Daphnia pulex: one gene and its partner. The protein of the gene in region 2 interacts with the protein of the main gene of each other region in a pairwise test. Links are inferred from orthologs where the notes say so. Each region holds a gene or a part of one and is shown on either strand. Other genes may lie near its edges.

Evidence for each region. The genes of interacting proteins can lie anywhere in the genome.
Region 1: the proteins of MICOS complex subunit MIC60-like (region 2) and prefoldin subunit 1-like interact in a two-hybrid assay, tested with the Homo sapiens proteins (2 studies listed by BioGRID and IntAct). The link is inferred for Daphnia pulex from reciprocal best matches to the Homo sapiens genes IMMT and PFDN1.

The regions. Positions count from the first base shown.
Region 1 is NC_060021.1:7,365,868-7,368,471, forward strand, and holds prefoldin subunit 1-like, read left to right. Parts: upstream 1-1,359; 5' UTR 1,360-1,471; coding exon 1,472-1,510; intron 1,511-1,577; coding exon 1,578-1,829; intron 1,830-1,900; coding exon 1,901-2,002; 3' UTR 2,003-2,104; downstream 2,105-2,604. Other genes in the region: methionine aminopeptidase 1-like, read right to left, coding at 1-91, 171-302, 371-593, 647-822, 879-1,089. UniProt on the Homo sapiens protein: Binds specifically to cytosolic chaperonin (c-CPN) and transfers target proteins to it. Binds to nascent polypeptide chain and promotes folding in an environment in which there are many competing pathways for nonnative proteins.
Region 2 is NC_060018.1:5,994,554-5,998,951, forward strand, and holds the start of MICOS complex subunit MIC60-like, read left to right. Parts: upstream 1-1,498; 5' UTR 1,499-1,626; coding exon 1,627-1,730; intron 1,731-1,794; coding exon 1,795-1,986; intron 1,987-2,046; coding exon 2,047-2,108; intron 2,109-2,166; coding exon 2,167-2,327; intron 2,328-2,387; coding exon 2,388-2,450; intron 2,451-2,523; coding exon 2,524-2,665; intron 2,666-2,724; coding exon 2,725-2,983; intron 2,984-3,041; coding exon 3,042-3,141; intron 3,142-3,204; coding exon 3,205-3,348; intron 3,349-3,425; coding exon 3,426-3,557; intron 3,558-3,626; coding exon 3,627-4,100; intron 4,101-4,167; coding exon 4,168-4,263; intron 4,264-4,334; coding exon 4,335-4,398. Other genes in the region: peptidyl-prolyl cis-trans isomerase NIMA-interacting 4-like, read left to right, coding at 333-360, 500-582, 643-762, 837-995. UniProt on the Homo sapiens protein: Component of the MICOS complex, a large protein complex of the mitochondrial inner membrane that plays crucial roles in the maintenance of crista junctions, inner membrane architecture, and formation of contact sites to the outer membrane.

The DNA.
Region 1 (2,604 bases), on a different chromosome or scaffold from region 2:
CCGCAATAACTCCTAACAACTGAAAATCCATGGCTTTGGGCGTGTTTTTGAATAACAGCCCCAACATCGCGATACTTAACACCTGGCTTCACTATAGAGAATGAGGGAAAAAAATGACGCATGAAGAGTTTATCGGTAAACAAATAACTGAAAGCGCGAAGCTTACAAACCTATTTCGATCGCTTTTTCTAGACATTCCCATGTGACTTGCACTAGCCTCTTGGCAGACTCGCTAACCTGACCAACGAATAAGGTTTCATTCAGGTCACCATGAAATCCTCGGTGGTAAGCCGTTACATCAACTAATGAATAAAATCTTTTTAATAAACAAGGATAACACAAACATTTTTAACAAATGAATTATTATTACTGTTGCATATATCCCCATTTTGCATGGGTCTCTTATCAGGGATACCATGGCAGATAACCTCATTGATAGAAGTGCAACAGGATTTTGGGAATTCATAATAATTTAATGGTGATGGATAGCACTCCCGCTCAATGCAGGCTTCATGGACAATCCTATCAATCTCATCTGTTGTGACCCCTACGGCCACAGCATTTGCTGCTTCTTCCAAGATTTCTCTACCAAGCTGTAAATAATATTAGTCAATTGCAAATTTCATAATGGGCAACAATTGATTACCTTGCTGACAACTCTCATTCCTTCTTTCTCTTCATCACTTAAAGCCTTAATATAGGAACTTCCTCTAGCAGACTGTTCTCCAAGTGGATGTCCTTCAGGATGATCAGCATAATCTGGTCTAGCAATGTGTGTAGGGATGGTGCGTTTGGGGGTCTGAGGATATGGACGTAAAGTACCTAAAAAAAAAACTATAGATAGAGATAATATCCCAACACAAAATAATTTCACATACCGGTAAACGGGAAACCAGGCCAAGGATTGTACGCGACGGGCTCTGTCACTGTTTCTTTCTTGTGGACACTCTTATGCACATTCCAGTTTTTTTTGAAACATTCTTGTGTACAAAAGAACGATCCTTTAATGCCCAGTTTAATGCAAGTCGGGCATTGTAACCGGGCTTCTTGGTCACAACCTGGGGTTTCACAAAGAGCTCCTGCAGACATTATTTTCAAACACTTCGCACTTCAATCTTCAAGGCGATTGTTCGTCAATTCGTGTTCGATTCAGGATAGTCGTCTGCAAAGTTATCAGCACTAAACAACCAAACTATGACGTCATTTCACTTCCCCTTGGTGGCTTACAAAATTTTCGATCGTTTATAATGATTATCAAAATAAACATTAATCAGTTCAAAAATTAAAACAATTAAAACTTAATTTAAATAAAATTTTAGACATTAATACTTTCATAGCGATTTTTATAAAATGTGTGGACTCTGTTTAGTTTAGTCATGCTCTCCTCCCAAATTCCAAAATTGTCTTCTGCTGGTGTCACTTTTATAGTCCTGCCGGTTGTAATTCATTGACCCGTAATAATATTTAAAAAATGGCAAAACAAGGACAGATGGATCTTGAACTCAAAAAGGTTATTATTTTTAGTATTTTTGTCTTATTTTGACATCACATATTCATTCCATTATGACTGTTTTCAGGCATTTGCTGAACTACAGCAAAAAATGGTCGAGACGTCTCAAAAGCTCAAATTAGCTGATCTACAGATCGAGACGCTCAAAAGAAGTATGACACATGCACAACTAACTGACAAAGAAATAAGTCAACTTCCAACTGATACCAAAACGTATGAAAGTGTGGGTCGTATGTTTGTATTAAAAGAAGTAACTGTAGCACGAACGAACCTTGAGAACAAAATCAAAGGCTGTGAGGAGAAAGTGAAAACACTTGAGGTTAGATTTACATTAAATTTAATTGTGCATTTTTGTTTACATTTTTTTCTAATTTCTGTTCAATTAAAAAGGGAACTAAAGCATACTTGGAGCGCAGCTTGAAAGAAAGTGAGAACAACATTAGAGAAATGATCCAACAAAGAAAAGATGCTAACACTGGGGATCAACATTGAAGATTAAATGTTTTTTTGCCTACTTGGATACTTGTCTATGCTTTTTTTGTTCGTTTCCATCGATTTTTATGGGGAAACCAAAATAAACTGCTTAAAATACTACGTGGTTAGATTTTTACATAATAGATGGCCAAGGCAAAAGTCGTCTGCTGACCTTGGAGAAAAACTTCAATAACACAGAAAGAGCTGAAGTGAGAGTAAAAACAGTGATCAACAACAAGTTGGGTTTAAGAGACCTTTCGTTTTCAATTTTTGGCCTTGAATAAATCTTATTTTCTAAGGATGCTGACTGGCATCAAAAGGTAGGAATGAAATGAAATTAATTTTAAAAGATGTTATAAAGCAAACATGACGTCGATGTTCGATGACTCCATCGACTTCATTGTAAAAAAAATTGTTTTATTTTCTTGTTGTGTGTGTGCACAATTTGAACAGTTTGAACATGATAGGAATTTTATTTACACCTGTGATCTATTAGTCTTCACAACTTTGTAGTAAATTTAATAGTTTTGGTCTAAATTGCTGTTTATAGTTTAGACATATCAGACTTCATTGGATCTTCTTAGTTAATTTCAGGGGTGAACTAGTGAAAGAAGAGCTGT
Region 2 (4,398 bases):
AATTAAAATCAGTTTATTGGGATGGGTATAAATAAGAAAGAAAGTTAAATATAGTAGAATTTTTTTAATTTATTGGATTTGATGGTTTTATAGCATCAACCCTTTATTTACTGTGTATCAATTTTTTAACTTACCGAGATTCCGTGACTCTGAACAGTAATTACAAATATGACCACTACGCAATATTTGCACTAGTCGACACAGAGCAGACGACACAAAAATTGAAAACGCAGAAAAGCGCGTTTGTAATTGTTCTAAAATCTTGACTCTTGACTTTTGATTTTTTTTTTTCATAAAAAGATTAGAATTTTGAATTGGGAATTATAATAGCTATGCCACCTAAAAAAGCAGCAGCTGCTGGTACATATAGTTTGATTAGTTTCCTTGTGAAATAGTTGTGTTTTTTAAATATTTGTTTACACCTAAAAGGATATGTCAGAATTCAGAAGTTTCTACTACTGTGAAAATAAGCGTTTATAAAGTTTCATTGACTATTTAGGAAAGTCGAAAGGTGCTGGAGGAGGAGGAGGAGATGATGACAAGGGTAAAGACAAAAAAGGAGGAACTGGGAGTACGATTAAGGTAAAATAAGATATATTTCAATAAAATAAGATTATGTTTTTAAATATTATTCTTGCATAGGTTAGACACATTTTGTGTGAAAAGCAATCAAAAATTCTAGAAGCACTTGAAAAGCTTAAAGCTGGTATGAAATTCAATGAAGTTGCTGCAACATACAGTGAGGATAAAGCAAGATCAGGAGTAAGTGTTAATCAATGTGTTAATCAAGTATTATGCTAATTGCTTATTACATTTTTTATTGTATATTAAAATAGGGGGACCTTGGATGGATGGTTAGAGGATCTATGGTTGGCCCTTTTCAAGAAGCTGCCTTTGCTCTACCAATTTCATCATTGGGTAATCCTGTCTACACAGATCCACCTGTTAAAACTAAATTTGGGTACCACATTATAATGGTAGAAGGGAAAAAATAAAAAAAATAAAAACAACATATTGTTACATGAATTAAAATTGCATTTTTCATGGTTTCTTCTAAATTCACTTTTACTATAAGTCAAAAAGCTAATTGAATTTCTTTTATGAATTAAACATTCATAAACATCCAAGATTATCCAAATTGGATCATCCAATGCAGGGTTAAATGTGATAGGCCTACATATCAGATGTAGATCATTCTGACTGGCATCTATATTGATTATACAAATTGTGAACAAATTTAAATAACAAATATGTTGAAATCTTTGGAAAATAGCAAAATATTCTTTCGAATTACATGAACAACATATGCTGGTGGTTGATTTTGCTCTAAATCTAAAATCTTTCACTTTCAAGTTATACAATAAACAAATTAGGAATTTATTTTCTAATGTTAGCCGAGCTCTGGATTAAAAGGAATGAGTTAATTTTCGAAACATTTTCCAAGAAAATTTGGGATTTGGCACAAAATGTGTTCACGTTATCTGATGGATGCTGTTTAACAAGAACTACTACTTGAGTCATATTTGTCGTCTGTTGTCCCTTAATTACTCCGAGACTACAACAGTGGCAGGAATATTTTCTTCCATCATTTGAAGATCCAAGGAAAAGTTAGATCATTTTTCAGGAATGTGGAAGGCACCAGTTAGAATTTGTTCTCAGTCGAAGGTATCATTGCAAAACGGAAGACAAATTATCCGCCGGAACATAAACAGCCGAAAATCAAATCAAATGTAACCGGTGTATTTTTTTCGTAAGTTGTTTTTATACCAGATGCTGTAATAATTTCATTTGTAGATCTGGAAGCAAAATTTTAACCATTGGTGGAGCTGCTATTCTAGCAACTGTTGGTGGTTCTGTTGTCTTAGCCAAAACAAGTGATGGTTTTAGGAAATTTTCTGAAAAAAATATTCCTGGAACCTCATTTCTGTTCAATTTACTACTGGGACCTTCAGTTTCCCATTTACCAAAACTTGAGCATCCTGTCAAGTATAATCAGTTTTGTTTCTAGACTTTTATTGATTATTTATTTAAACTTATTTGCTTCAGAGTAAAGGAAGATGGACTTTTAAAGAAAAAATTGGAACGAGAAGCACTCAAGAAAAAAGATGGTAGATAAACATTTGAATTATTTTCTTGTACATTTGGAGCAATTTTTTTCTCTCCTAGATGAGCTGCCCATCAATCCTGTGGAAGAATCAAGCCCACAAGAGCTACCCATATCCTCAATCGATTTACCACCCCCAGACTTCGATGTCATAAAATCTGTGGAAGAATTTTGTGACAATGATCAATCAAGTGTTGAAGAATCTTTAAATTTAGACCCAGAAGTAAACTGTTTTTTATTTTATTTGCTTATACCTTATGTTTGACTTCCAAATTGCATTCAGGTAAAAACAGATGAAAATATTAAAGTAGTAAATGAATCTGAACCTGATAGTTCAGCTGTAGAGGTGAGAAACTTTCAGATTTGTACATCAAAACTTCAAAAAACAAAAATCTTTAGTTATTTTTCCTATAATTTAGGTTCTCGAAAAAGTTGCAGTTAATTTATCAGAATTAACTCCCGCCGAATTTGGGGACTTGCTTAAGGAATTTCATGCCAAAGCTTCTGACGCTGTTAAAGAAGCTGTTGCAGCCCAAGATATGGCTGCATGCTCCATCAAAAGTAACCGTCTCCTAAATAATCAGACTAACAATTATTTTATATTATTTTATCTTTTGTAGAGCATGTTGAATTGGTCTTCAAGTCACTAGAAAAGATTTACGAGCCTGGTCAAACACATGAAAATATTTGGGAGCCGGTCTTCATGGCGACACACGATAAAAATGAAGCTGTGCATGTTGCCGAGTCTCGAGCTCATGATGCCAGAATGGCCGTAGCTCAGCTGAAAGAAGCTGTAGCTCATGGCTTAAAGAATGACCAAAGTATACAAACACCTGACCTAATTACTTTTGACGAAAGCGTTGCCCGTGCTCTCTATAGGTACGTATTTGTGAATGTTGCTTCAAAACCTCCAGTGGCTATAATGTTTGGTATTTAGTTTGGAAACTGCAAAAGCACGAGTTGAAGCGGCTCAGTCTGAAGCCAAAGTTATGGATGAATATCGTGAACTTGTTGATACTGCTAGGCACAACTTGCAGGTAACAAATTGAATATTTATCAAAAATTTATAACTTCAACGTCTTTGGTTTGCATTATTCAAGATGGAGTTATCTTCCATTCGTCCTGAATTGGCACCCAGTTTTAAAACCGAAGGTTCCAAGTTGGGTGAAGAGGAAATCAATATTTTGATGGCCCATGCCTATTGGAAGATAATAACGTTGCAAAAAGAACTAGCCAGGCAACAGGTTAGTTTAAATGTTTTTTTTTTTTTGTTTTTTGTTTTTTTACAAAAATTTACAGCAATTAAAATTTGTATATCTAGTCTTGTGAGCAGCAGCGCCTGAAAGGAGCTTTAGATACCCAGAGAAAAGAAGACCATTCGGTTCTGGAATCCCGTTTACGAGTCGAATTGGAAAGACAATACTACGAACTAAAAGCGAAATATAATCAAGATGTGAGTTATACCGCCCATTATTGTTTAAACAAATCATTCCATTAATGTGTGTGTCGATTTCTTTAACAGATTTCGTTTCATGAAAAAACCTTGTCGGATCAGTTTACTCAGCAGCTTAAACTCCAAGCTGCTGCTTATACTGATCACTTAAATGACACTCTAAAGACGCAACGTCTAGAACTAAAGCGAACATTTGATGCTGAACGTGAACTAGAAGTCGCAAAGTTGTTGGCGTCCCATCATGAAAACCTGGCGAAGCTTCACGGAATGGGCAAAGGAATTCAAGACGCGATCCATGACCGCGCCGAAAAGGACCGAGTTTCTCGTCAAGTTCGTGAGCTATGGATTGCAGCTCAATCGATGATCGAGTCCCTGCGCAGTAACAATTCAGTCCATTTGCCATGGAATGAGCAACGCCACCCTCTCAATCTGAGTAGTTTGAACAAAGCACTAAACAACAATGATGAATTTGCTCTGGCAGTCATCGAATCCATCCCACCAACCGCTCTAGATCAAGGAATCCTTCCCCAAGGTGCTCTGAAGGTAACGCCCTGAAATATTTTCTTGTTGAAGTATTTTTTACGTTTAAATTTTACTCTTTTTTTTTCAGGAACGTTTCTTGAATGTTGAAAGAGTTTGTCGACGTGTAGCTCTGATTGATGAGAATGGTGGATCGATCCTTCGTTATGCGCTCTCTTATTTGCAGGTTGATTTTTGTTTTTTTGTTTTTTCCTTTCATACAACAACTGTAATTGTGTTAATATTCAATTCTTTTAGAGCATGATGGTCGTCAAAGTTGACGCGCGTCCGCAGTCAAAAGACGAAGAAATCAACTTGGCCG